2 linked regions of the Kluyveromyces lactis genome follow. Each later gene encodes a partner of the first gene's protein in a complex. Links are inferred from orthologs where the notes say so. Each region holds a gene or a part of one and is shown in the gene's direction. Other genes may lie near its edges.

Region 1 (7,274 bases):
GTCGGTTTGTACTTGGGACAAATTTGTTTGTTGGGTCTCTTTGTTGTTGGTAAAGGTTGGGGTCCAATCGTGCTACAAGCCATTTGTCTAGGTGTCACTGTTTTCGTTCATCTAAACTTCAATTCAGCATTTGACCATTTAATGGCCTTTGAACCTGTTGATACAATGAAGGCATTGGATGGTAAATCAAACACACCATCTTACATCAGAGATTTCGTTGAACCAGAAAAGGATGAAATCAAGGAATTGCCACCATTCCAAATCAAGAAGTACCATCCTCGTTCCTCGTCACAATTCGACCAAAGAACTACATCCATTCTGAGTGACAACACTTACGAAATCCAAACTGGTGTCTTTGATACCGATAATGAAAACACTTTGAACACAGTTCCATTGCTAGCAGACGGTGACATGACTCCAGTGCCACCAGCTCCATTCTGGAAAAGGTTCTTACTCCCTCACATCTACTATTCTTACAAGGCTGTGAAAACAAGATTGCCCGAGATCTACAATCTACCAGATCCAACAGAAATAACCGATGAAAAAGAAATCAAGCATGCATACGATTTCCCAACAGTCTCAGCTAAATGTCCATTCCTATGGATTCCTCGTGATCCATATGGATTCTCTACAGTTCAGATTGCTGATTTAGCTGGTGTCGTTGAAATTTCTGATGAAGGTGCTCGTTTCACAGAATCTGGCTCTATTGAGTGGGAAACTGCTCCACCTTCTTACAATGATTCTCAAATGCAAGTTGTATCTAATCCGTTTGACGAACAAGATGAAGATAATCTTCAGAGAGAGGAATAATCGTCAAGATCCAATCTAAGCCATTTTCTCTTACCATGTTGTGTAAGCTTTTAATTTATCTTTTTGTAATATTTCCACTAATCACTGATTAAATAATAATTTGTCTATTAAATTTCAAGCTTACCGAATTACAACCAAACACTAAGGAATCGTGGTCCAGTCGAGTCTGGGTATCCCACAGAAAGGATTCATTCCATAGTTGCTGTGTGGGAATTGATGTCTAGAGATATGAGAAGGGCTTCGCAACATTTGAGGTTGATTGGCAACCATTTACATGCTAGAAACTACCACAACGTTTTGGTTGGAAGCAAATACTCATCGTCTTTTAAACAGTACTTGCAGCTGCCAAACGGTGAAATTGGGTCCTATTTCCACGATGTGCCATTAGACTTAGATGTTGATGCCAAAACATGTAACATGATCGTAGAGGTTCCACGTTGGAGTAATGGGAAGTTTGAAATCAGTAAGACCGAACCATTTAACCCCATCACACAGGACATAAAGAAAGGCAAGCCACGATTTGTCAATAACATTTTCCCTTACCATGGATACATTCATAACTATGGGGCTATCCCACAGACATGGGAACAGCCACTTATTGAAGTATTGCCCGGTTTCAAGGGTGATAATGACCCATTGGACTGTTGTGAAATTGGTTCCAGCATCGCCAAAATGGGAGATATCAAAAAAGTAAAGCTTCTAGGGTCATTAGCCCTCATTGACGATGGAGAACTCGATTGGAAAGTCATTTGTATCGACATTGAAGATCCCATTGCTATAAAATTGAACAAGTTGGCAGATGTAGACACTGTTATGCCTGGTCTCTTGGATGCAACTAGAACATGGTTCAGAGATTACAAGATTCCTGCTGGGAAACAACCTAATGTGTTTGCATTCGAAGGTGAGTACCAGGACCAAGCATCTACACTTTCTACGGTACAAGAATGTCACGAAGCCTGGAATGCTCTAGTTAGGGGAGAAATTAAAGCAGATGGATCAGAGGCCGAGATTCCCTCCATTGTCAGAGCGGGAACTCACATAAGAGTTGAACCTAATCAACAAAATGACACACCAATCCCACAAGAAGTGGACAAATGGTACTATGTATGAACTTAAAAGCAGTCAGTGGTCAGTAAGCTTCTTCGGTTAGGTTAACCTGGCACAGCTCATCTCCTCTTATTATGCCTTTATGATATACATGTCCAATATTTTGATGTTACCCTCTCTCATATGTAGTGCAAAATTTTAATGTAAACAAAACTATATTTAATGAAACTATTCGATCTAACAATTAAGACGATGAGACAGTGGTACAGATTCACGTCAACTAAAGGCTATTGCGCTGGCCAGGTGTACCGTGCAGCATGTCATCTTTATCATTTGCTGGAATTTGTGCGTTTCTCCGCTCTGGGGAATACGATAAGGTACATAATGAGCCTACTTTCCAGGCAATCGATAAATTCTTGAAGGACAACGAAGAGATACTGGTTCATCTTTCGAGGTTTACCTCAGTTGAAAACACTGATTCCGTTGGAAAACAGCTGCAATTGAGGGGTTATTCATATAATGTGACGGTAGAGGACGAAAAATTGGCCAATGAGCTTTCAATTGCGTTAAATGTACATCAAAAAGAGTGTTTGAGAGTTATTTCGCAGACCAGGACCAGGTTCCCAGATTGTCCAATGGAAAAAGATACCATCGTTAAACAGATCTTACATGAAAGAAACTGTGTCTTGGATACAACCCTCGTTTTATTAAATCATGATTCTTTCCCAGTTTTAAAGGGCTCCATGTTACAACTTGTCTACAAGAATAGGTCCACAATGATATCAGAAGCAATTCTTCTGGTCAAGAACTGTGTAGCACTTATCGGCTCAGCAGAGCAAAATGATTCTTATAAGAGCTCATTAATGTCGTATGATCTTATTTATATTACAAATCTATTGAATTTGATCGCATTCGTAAGCTTGAATCAACCAGTGGGTCTGGAAATTATCACAAAATGGTACGAGTTGCTCGAAGAAACACAGTATTTCGCCATACTCAAGGATAATAAAGATGTCCCATCAGAGATCTACAACATGGCAAATTCTTTAATGATAATGGATACTATTATAATGACAGGATATAATACAAGCGAAGACACGATAGACGTAAAATCGTCTTTTTTTAATGACGCTGCGACTTTCAGAAGGCTTCTAGATCTCATAATAAACACAGATCCGCCAGCAATTATTGTATACTACTGGTCTTTCATCTTATATTCCAAATCGTATCTGTTAGAAGAAGATCCTGAAAATAATCTGGAATTCGTGCAGCAAGTCTTCAACTCACAACCCATTTCGAAGCTAATCAAAGAGTTTGCCCTTACTGCAGAGAATGAAAATGTTTTCGAAGAGATTTCTAAGGTTTCACAAATATTCAAAGATCAAGCCTTCTTTGCGGCTATACTGACTTCCTTCATCACTTTTTCGTTGTATTTCGTTCCAATCAGTATAAAGACTTCCAAAATGATCAAAACTGTCCTCAGTAACGCACCAACTCATTATGTGGAAAAGTTCTTGACAAACAAAGAATTTGAGAAAAAATTCTTCTTGATAAAAACAAAGGCTCCGCTGTTGAAAGAGTCACTCATTCCAATGATAAACATAACCTCAGCGAATGCTGAATTTGCAAATTTTGAGTGGAAGGAACTTCCCACCTATGTCCAAGAGGTTGTATTGGGAAGTCTAGAGTACGACTTAGCTGATGATGCACACTCAACAGATTTGATATCCATAAAGAGTGAGACCTTTGCTCGAGTACCGTTGGAACCTAGTGGGAATGTTCTCTTACCAATTCCGAAGGACACGAAGGCTAAGATCTTACCTTCAGTAACTAATGATGACGTCGTGATGTTCTTGTATAAATATAACGGTTGGTCATTATTGGGTAGAGTCCTTCAAAATGCATGCGATAGATATCTGTCCACTTCATCTGCTGGTGTTCAAGATTCTGATGTTCAGGAAATGATATTATCAATGCTGGATCTAATTTCTAGTGTTATAGGAAGTGGTATCTCGGTGGAGAAATCGGCCGATATTCTACTACAAATGTCTACCTATCTTACAGAAGATTACATTTTTGATGTTATTTTCAAAGTCTTCGAACAATCTTTGCATTTAAGAGACTATGACGTTATTGATCATTGTCTCAACCTACTCATCAGTTCCATAGATGACTTTTCTCAGTTCGTATGGTCGCATTTAGCAAGATCTGAACTCCTTGATAGGTATGGCAAATCCGGATTGATTTCTAGTGTCTTGGGCACCATGGAATTACCAAATGGAAACTACTCAATAACAATCAAGATTATCAAATTGGCGCAACAATTAGTTCTAGAATCTCTAACACTAGAGACAGAATTCCCAGAAAATCTGAAAAAGGAAATTCTTTCGAAATTCTTTCAGCATTTCATACATGTTTATGAAAGTTATCAATACTGGAACTATCGTTCCATAGCTGAGAAATATGAGCTAGGAACAAACTTAACCATCTTGTTTACGACTGTCGTTTACAATATTTATGGTATCGATCCATCTAATCCGCCAGAAACTAAAATTACTAAAGTCCTATCATCAGCTGCAAACGACATAACGAATCGCTTTTTAAGTTCTGACTCACCAGATGTAAGAACAGTCACTTCCATACTGCATGTTCTATTATCCAGCAACTCATTGGAAGCACTCTCTATCGGAAATGAAGTCTTTTACAATAAGTACAACCAATGTTTGCTGAAGTCTTATGAATTAGCAAACCTTTTAATCTCCGTCCGTGCAATGTTACAATTACCTCCCAGCACTCTGGAATCACAAATATATGGCAACTTGCCGAAGTTAATTGACATTTACGCCTTACACAATGATTTAAGAAATCCAATAATCAAACTCATGACGCACCTTGTGAGAGCCCCTTGGGCCGAAAACTTCCCATCTCTTTTATCGTATCTGGGCCAAAAACACTCCAAGATGATTTTCAATTCGATCTTGTACGACCTCGCAAGTACAATCGATGATTATCAATTTCTGAAGAGTTTATACAGATTCTTTTCTTCCGTTATGGAAGGAAAGCAGGATGGTTTCTCTATTCTTTTAGTTACTGGCGAAACCATATCCGTTGGCTCTTCCCCAAAAAAATCAGAACCATCGAATAGCGCCTCTGAAACATCAATTCTTTCTCTCCTTAAGAAAAATGTCTTGAAGCTAGATTGCTACCCGGAATCTGTGGCTTCTCGACTTCTTGAAGCAATCTCATATGCATTCAACTCTTGGGCTGCTGCAAGGAATAATACAGCAGATAAAGAATTTATAGATTTTCTCGTCAAAAGGCTAGAAAAGTTCGAGGACAAGTTGGCTCCCGATTCGGTTGAGGCGACGATTAAATTATCCAGTCACTATCGTCTTCAAGCGAGGATTGCTGAAATATTTGCCCTTCATCTATTCACCTCTTCACCTTCAGATTCCACCATAACAAACATGTTAAATGGACCCCAACTTGTTGATATCGTTAAGAGGATATTTTCTATAGACGGATATGATAAAACTCTTCATTTGACTCTCGCAGAGGAATTCAAAAAGATTTGGCCTCATCTGGATATAGAAAAATTCGCTATTTCACCACTTTATAGAATCGGTAAGGCGTACCAGGCGAACATATATGACATTGAACTTCTTGATCAGTTCTTCTGTTGTGAAGAAAAATGGAGAGGGAACGGGTCCACTCCAGGGTTTAGAGAACAAGTTATAAAAAGCTCTATCAACTTACAATATGTGTCTTTCCAAATTTCAGCAGCAAAATCATGGGGAGCTCTTTTGACCGCATTCATTAAGAAAACTCCAAAGCCTTTACAAGCTTCATATGTCGATATTGTTACCCAACTACTCGCACTAAATGTTGAGCATGGTGTGGAGGCACCTATCTTCTCTGAAATATACCTCCTAAGAATCGAATTGGTGTTTTACATACTGTATTCATTCTTACAAACTTCTATGAAGATACCTGAGGATAAGCTTGAAACTCTATTGTCACAGCTTTTGGCAATTTTAAAGTCTAAAGAGGTAGATTACCTCGGAAATATCGCACAATCGAATAAGAATAATCAATATAGACCTATTCTTCGTTCGATTTTGATGTTGTTAACTTTGGCAAAACCTTACCCTATGTTTTCAGAAAGATATTCTGATAGTCTATTGGAAGTCTTCGAGTTAGCTTTTTCAAAAGGTGTTAATTTGATCTTGTCTTCTATATTATTCTCATTCACAATAGCCTCCAACAAAGGTAAAAAAGTTATTGTGCCAAATCTTGCCGACAAAATTCAAGATTTGTTACTATTACTATCCCTTTTCACAAAAATCAAAGAACTGAACCCTTCGACATCCTTTAACGCTGTATTGGCATCCTCGCTAAATGAATTTGGAACCTTAAAATCACTTTTGAATCTTTACTACAGTTCATATCTTTTCAGATCTCATGATGAACCCTTATTCGCGGAGCTAACCCTGTCATTCATTTCTGAGCTTGTCACAATTGAAGAAGTTGCACAAAAGATTATAGATAACGGGCTCTTCTCTGTGTTCTTGGAAAGTCCGATTTCGGTGTCAATTCAACAATCTGGGGCTCGCCCAGAATTATCACCAAGATTGCATAACATATGGTCCAATGGCATCATATCGATTATTCTTCAACTATTAAGTAAATTCGGATCTGGAATACTTTCGGAAGTGTGTCTATTTGTTTCATATTTCTCCAAACAAATAGATCTTGCTGTGGGGGGCTGGTCGTCTGACTCACTGTCCATAACTCAAGCATATATCCAGGAGACTTCCCAGATAATTCTTTTGCAGAAAATGCTAGATAAACTTGAATATCAGCGTTATTTGTCTGTTAATGGTTCCAAATTGAAGGTCATTGACGAAGAAGAGATAATAGAGTTGTTCCCTGGTTTAGACACTAGCTCTGAGAGAAACGATTTGGCAAATGTATTGAAACATTTGTTAACTCACCCAAAGTATATGAATTCTCGGATCATCGCGACAACCCCAGACAAACAAAAGATGATGGAAGATGAGGTCTATAGAAATCAGCTTCTACATTCTATCACCAAGCAAATCTCAGAACTTCAATCATCCTTGATGTCAGATTTATAAACAGGTAGGTTTATATAGTATTAATATTATTTAGATAGAAATAATTTTCTGAAGTCATCATTGCTCAACTTTTTGTCATTTTGTGACGCTTGCTGTGATTTAATTTCCTTTACAACAGCGTGCTTTGGTTGATTCAAGGTTGTTTTGTGTTCATTGGGATAATGAAGGGAAAGTTCATGAGCAGAAACACATTTCAAAATTCGGTTCTTGAACTTGTATCCATTGATTGCAAGTGAAACTTTTGCGGTAATTGCTTCTTTGTCCGCTATTATTAAAGCA
Region 2 (6,917 bases), on another chromosome or scaffold:
GATACTGCTTTTTGTCAAAAAACAAATCCACCAAAGCAAAGTGCTCCATTTTATCATCGGTAGTGGAAGAAGGTAGGCATAGCGCTAGTTCTAAACTTTTATCTTTCATTTCATCAGTACCCATAATGCTTTTGTTATCGAAAATATTACGTGAGACGACATTTCTTTCACCAATTGTTGCTATGACTCTAGCAGCACCGAGCTTAATTCTGAAATTAGGACAGTTTAATAGAGAGTTCATGACCTCCAAGGAATTGTATATCCCACGATTCATAGTATTATTGAGTAAACGAGTAGTGAAAGCCAAATACTCCCATACTTCGTCTTCGTCTGTTGTGTTCATTAGTTCCAATTTACATCCATTTTTCTTCCAGTCTGTAGTATCATAGGAGTATTTCTTCAGTACATTTGATAAGATTTCATCGATTCTATCCAGAACAGGAATCCAAATGTACAAATCATCTCTCGAACGATCCCATTCTTTAATATCTTTTAACTTCTTGATGAAATCAGTACCATCACAGTTAATTAAGTCATTGATCAACGGCTTGAACGATTTCGCATTTTCCTCTTTCCGTAGCTTTTCAGCTTTCGTTAAGACGGCCATCTTTTGTGTTGATGATGGCAAACTAAAAACCTCTTGCGATGGGATTTGCTCTTCCTATTGTTTGAAAGAAAAACCAAGGTCTCAAAACAGAATGGCTGTTATACACAAAGTGAAAAGGTAGCCTTCAAAAATTAACGTTCTGGAAAGCTGGAACGTGATACAGAGACGTGTTCTTAGGCGATTAATTGTCTATATCTGCCCTTTGATAGTGAAATCTTATTAAATAGTTATCCTCAATTGATCTTATGCCTAACGCTCGCAATTATTTTCATTTCGTAGAGTGTGATCTCATGTTGTGGAATAAAAAATGCGTAGGGTGCAAGTGAATATAGATTAGGCATGAGTAACTAATTATACATATAGCGGTTGGATATTTAAATAACACCTGTAGGTTACAAACTTGAGATGTGGCAAAACCGTAACATTTATCATTTCTTAAATTCTATGATTTTTCATCTTGGCAGGTAATTCGATGACTTTAGTTATTCTCTAAGACACTTTATGACACATTTCTTCTGTTTGGCTGTTGCAGCATACGAGGTCTTCCAAGTTGGGTGCGCTGAGGACCTTGCAGTTGCGGAGCAGGTTGCGGTCCTGCTAGTTGTGCATTTGATCTTGTTGGGGTACTTCTGTTACTTTCTGTTGCGCTCGTTTGGGGAGCAGCAACATATGGTTCAGAATTTGTCGTTGTGCCAGACAGTTCCTTGCCCTTAGGAGCGAACTTGGAGTAGATACTGGACCTATCACTGTCCAAGCCCTTTTCTTTTAAAATAGTAGCTCTGACTGGTGTAGATACTGACTGGTCAACGGTATGTCTTATGGACTGGGCTTGAAATTTAGGGTCAAACATAGATCCTGACGGGATGGGATCTTTATGTTGCAGTGATGTGGCAGCTTTAGCAGTAACAAATGTCACAGGAGAGATAATACCAGTAGCTTCATCTGATATTGTGGTTGTGGTTGTACTGCTATTAGTAGAATTTTTGTTATTTGTTGTCGTATTCATATTGAGTAAATCGTCATCTTGTATTTCGTCGCTAAACATGAAAGAATCATCAAGTAAATCATCAGGGTCCTGCTGTTGATTGCTAGTTTCTTCATTCGGTGATGCGGATGCTGTTACTGCTTGTGCTTTTGGTGCTCTTTTCTGTGTTGTATGATTATTTGACCGGTACGTTTGCTGTGCAGGTGCAGAAGGTACGGCATTTCTATCCTCATTTGTTAGGCTTCTTTTCTTCAAAGAAGGTCCCTCAGTATGCGCATCTCCAACCATATTTGATCTTGACATCTCACTTAATTCATCTGCAGGTCTGAAAAGGTTTCCCTCGTCAAAATCTGGGGGATCAAACTTCACTTTATCAATCTTAGCCAAGAAATCCTTATCATAAAGACAATTCCCAAGAGCGTTTCCGAACCCTCTTAACGATCTTTTCAACGCATCTGTCACTGCAGATTTCTTGGCACGCTCGAAAGCGCTGGCTTTCCTCCGTTCATTTTCCACGGTTCCATACCCAATATCCTCTCTGAACGTTCCATCGGCTAACGAAACACGAACAATAGCGGTGCATCCAATACTAAATCGACCTTGCCTTTCGTCAAGGAAATCTATAGTGACATTTTTAACCTCCGTAGACCATCCGTCATACCCAAAAATCTGGTTTGCTAGATTGATTGCTTTCCAGCCTTCGATATATGCTACTCTACTGGATCCAAATCCTACTCTCTTTGAAATATATTCTGGTCCTAGCTTCTTATCTAACTTCGTTTGAATGTCATCTTTACCATTCTTGCCACTTCCTGTATCCTCCATATCTAACAAACTGCAAAAAGGAAAATTGATGCGAGTCGCACTAATATACCAATCCACAAAATCTTCTACCAGTTAAAGACACAAGCAAGGTGGTATCCTGTCCAATTCAACAGCGCAAAATCGTTAACTGTTTGACCTAGTTTGTTTAAGTTTTAGTTTATCAATACAGTAAATTTGAAAAAAGTAAACAGAGCAGTAGCTTAAATCACGTAAACTTGAAAAAGATCTGTTTCTATCGGTATTAAAAGACGCGAGAGCCATGTAAATTGAAAGGAGTTTTGAAAGGATGGCAATGAAACTTAACATTATCATTATAGGATTGGCAGTACCTGTGCTGTCATAGAAGTACTTACATTGGTCATGAAAGTGGCGACGCAAATCATTCTAATATTTTCAGTACTCTATGAGTGACCTTGTATATATTTGTATATATCTTTTGGACAAGAATATCAACTTTTAAGCGTTAAAGTTGACACGAGACCATTGTTACAAGAAAGAGAAAGAGAATATGACACATATTTAGTTGATTTACTTATTTACATGTAACAACTGTTTACGATATCATCAGGTTCGCGTTTAGCGTCTATATGTTGAGACTGACCTCACTGACAAGGAGGTGATTGTCTTTAGTTTCGAGTTACCATGCAAATCAACTATGACATTGGCATAAGAGGGTTACCCGAATATCTAATTTTTTTATGACGCCTGATCTCTAGATCACAACCTGTTAAGAACTTAAAATGCTTGAGATGATATACAAATAAATAATATAAGTAACTCGGAAGGTAATTGATTGTCCTAAAGTCCAATTGACCTTTGTCTGTTTTAAGCATCTAAAATTACTCAGCTTATTGCTATACAGGCTGTACTTTTACCTGTGTTCATCTTTGATTGGTTTGTTTTCATTGATGTCTTACGTGCAGAGTTTAGGACCGGTTGCACCGCAACTGCGTGATTCTCGTTTTACTTACCATCGGATATTCAGTGGGGTATGCAAGAGCAGGTTTAATAATTTCGCCAGGGGTTTACTCTTCAAAACAGCGGTACTTGTCGGTTTAATTACAACCATTACGACACAATGGGAGTTGTCGAAATCTCAGAAATTACTGTTATGGCCAGTAAAAATATTATCTTTCTATGTTGCAATGTTGATGCTAATTATTACCAGGAAAAACTATCTTCATGTCAATTACCTTGGATATACGAGCTGGATAAGCGCATCATATGGCCAATTAGTCTCCCGTAAATGGATCACGTACCTTTTAGTTTACGTTGTGAGCGCATTCTTCCTTTCTTTGACATTTTCCTGTTGCTTTTTCACTCCAGGTACTGGTTCAAGAAAGCATTCACAGCATTACGAATTTTGTTGTCAGTTTATGGTACCTTTTTTGTATTCCATCCAACATGTACTTTTAGATCTTGACAGACTTACTTTCAACTACGGTGCTCAACATCAACATCCTCAGAAGTTTATGGCTTCAAGAATCCATGATTCATTTTTGAAGTGTCTTGTGTTAACTGCAATACTCTTTCTAATTACTCCAATTCTATTAAAGCTTTTATTCGGACATCTAGGCTCTGGTATATGGTCCCATATTAGGATTTGTTGTATATGCTTGTTAATCTTGCAAACATGGGACTTTACAAACATTGGCTTCGACGCCTTTCTATCAATTGGTTGCTTGCATAAAGGTAAACCAATCTCTTCGTTATCTCCAGCTTCAATGGAGACATTGATCACTGGGTTGAGATCAGAAAAATTATTTGTTAAACTTACTGCATTCCAAGAGCTGGCCTACAGAGCCACTTGTGCAAATGTGGAGTTGAGGCTCCCAATTTACCACAATACCTATAGAAATAGCTTGATCTGGCCCGGTATACTTAGAGAATGTATGATTGTTATTCAAGAAACCAACTATAACGTATCCGATTTCTTGCTTACATTGAAGAAAGAGATTGATCCCCAGCCTACAAAACCATCTTTCCCTATCAATAGATCGGTAGATCATTTATTCGGTACCAACCATACTGTCAGAAAACAAAATAATGATGAGGATTCCAGATTACCTGGTGCTCCTCCTACTGAACAAATAAATTCGGATCTACCATCAATGGCTTCACATAGAATCGTTTTAGAGGACAGCAATGTTTTCAAAAACAACGATACCCAAAGAAGTCCGAATCCTCCGAGATTTATCGACTCATACAAACAAGCAATTTTTACCAGACAACCTACAGTACTTTCTGTTTTGACTGATCTTTGGAATTGGATACAGAGAAGAATCAGTCAGTACTTTTTCACCATCGATTCAACTGATAACACGAACAAGAAGCTCTCATTGTTTGAACTTTACCATATATCAAAAGTAAGGGAAGCTGAGAAGTTGTGTCCTGTGCCAGTATGCTATGCCGAGTGTGTGTATTCGATGATGGGTTTTATAGTAAATTCTGTGGATGAAGATCCCAAAGGAGCTGTCGTATCTTCAGTCGGCGAAGTATTAAAAATTTTGGAAAGATCTATTGGCTCTTTAGGTTCGTTTACTGAATTAATATTGGATGGAAAACAAGAAAAGGATTTGAATGATGTCATAAGTGTGTTGTATGACTTATGTATCAATGCATTTTTGGAAATAGTTTTGAAGTATGACACTCTCCTTAACGATGTTTATTTGGACGAAGATGTCGTGAAGTTAACACAGTGGTTGCAAAAAATGTCACAAGATATTTAAACATAGCTTGGCATCAATTGGATTATTCCCAACAGAAGCATGTTACTCTAATAATATTCAAAAGTTATATTGCTTTCATTATAAAAGAGAAGAAATCTACCCCAAACTTCTGGTATGTTATAGGAAGATGTTACATGTACTGAACAAGCGAGCGGAGAATACTTGCTTCTTATTCCAGAAGTCGGAATTATTCATGAAATGTTTTTATTTTCCATTAACCTTCACTAGATCATAATGACCATTGAGGTTAGTATTTGAGTTACAGCAGAACTTTTGTTATAACAAACTTATTTTAGCATTACGTATGAATAAAATACAAACCAAAGCATACAAACGTTATCTTCATTTTTACAAAAAGGTCATTACGTATTTAAAAAGACTTTTTCCATCGGTTTATCAATTCATCGATCCGCACTAGCTTTTCGTGCACAATTAACGTTTCTCGCCAACCGTAAGTCTTATAAATTTAATAGCAACGTCTGTAGTATCTGCTCAAGAAGTGTTGTACTGGGATAACAACAAATGATAATGAGATGTACTACAATACGAAGAATTCGACTAAGTGCCTTACAATGCATGATCTATTTAGTGCTTGCCAGTTTTTTGTTCATAAAAGTATATACACATAAAGTCAACATATTATGCAGTTGTAAAATGTTAGAAATGAATCACAACGTCCGTCGAACTGACATGTCATTTGGGGAGTTTGATGATTTAGTATTTGTTTGAGAAGGTATTGCGGAATTATTGTCCAAAAATACTGGTTTTAGGACCTGCTCATCAAAGTTTGCAAACCATTGATCCTGCTGGAAAATTTTGTCAACGGAGCTTCTTATTTGAGCACCATCAAATGAGAACCTCGGGCCATTTAATTGTTGACTTGGAGTGTCTTCGGGCGATATTATACCTGCAGCGGCATTGACGCTTGTAGCCAACGGTGGGAAATCAGATCTGAAGTCTGTCGACAAGTTCAAACTGCTATTAGCTAAAGAGATTGGACGGGGTGCTTCAATGTCAAATTCATCGTCACTAATATCATTCTCATCTACACAGCCGGTCTTAATGTTGAGAATCTCTAGCATACTAGCTGTAGTCCCACCGAAAATTATAACGGTTAAAACAACAACAACAAGAACAGTAGCTAATAGGGTAAATTTGAATTCACCTTGGATACCCATGGCTAATGCAACACCAACAGCACCCCTAAGACCAGCCCAAAACACCATCATCTGGTATTGGTAAGGAATTTCATCTGGAATTGAATATTCGGATTCAGAGTTCGCATTCAAACCCATTGATCTGAGAGTTTTCATTCTGTAAAACCAATTAACGAAATTAGACAACGGAAGTACCGCTGACCAACGTGCCACACATATGGATATTGCTGTAATAATGATCAACATTGGCTTGTACACCAATTCCACTTCGGTGAACAAAGCTAGGCCAAGATAAATAAAGATAAAGTTTTCTGATAATCTTGCAAGTAGTTGGAAAATGTATTTTAAAGTAACTTGAGTTCTTCTGGACATATTATAATATGCGTAATGTTTCAAAGTTATGCCGCAGAATAATAGAGATACGATTCCGGACATATGACAACCGTTGGAGAAGAAGTAAGATTGGTAAGCTACTAGAAGGATGATACAACTTTCAATCTGTGGATATCTTCTAATGTAAGTGTGCTTCAAAAACAATGCGACAAGCATCCCAATCATGCATCCGATCAACAGGGATACTGTGAAAGTCATCATAAACATTCCGATACCTTCGA

Evidence for each region. Proteins that work in one complex are often made in the same cells at the same time.
Region 2: NUP188 (region 1) and NDC1 share a complex: the UniProt entries of both Saccharomyces cerevisiae proteins name them as parts of the nuclear pore complex. The link is inferred for Kluyveromyces lactis from reciprocal best matches to the Saccharomyces cerevisiae genes NUP188 and NDC1.

What each region holds. Positions count from the first base shown.
Region 1 is NC_006041.1:969,720-976,993, reverse strand, and holds NUP188 (Nup188p), read left to right. Parts: upstream 1-2,174; coding exon 2,175-6,995; downstream 6,996-7,274. Other genes in the region: RSN1 (Rsn1p), read left to right, coding at 1-810; inorganic diphosphatase PPA2, read left to right, coding at 1,027-1,920; U6 snRNP complex subunit PRP24, read right to left, coding at 7,022-7,274. UniProt on the Saccharomyces cerevisiae protein: Functions as a component of the nuclear pore complex (NPC).
Region 2 is NC_006038.1:137,913-144,829, reverse strand, and holds NDC1 (Ndc1p), read left to right. Parts: upstream 1-3,325; coding exon 3,326-5,146; downstream 5,147-6,917. Other genes in the region: E3 ubiquitin-protein ligase TOM1, read right to left, coding at 1-607; recombinase RAD52, read right to left, coding at 1,107-2,417; bifunctional K:H/Na:H antiporter NHX1, read right to left, coding at 5,815-6,917. UniProt on the Saccharomyces cerevisiae protein: Functions as a component of the nuclear pore complex (NPC) and the spindle pole body (SPB), probably by playing a key role in de novo assembly and insertion of both structures in the nuclear envelope.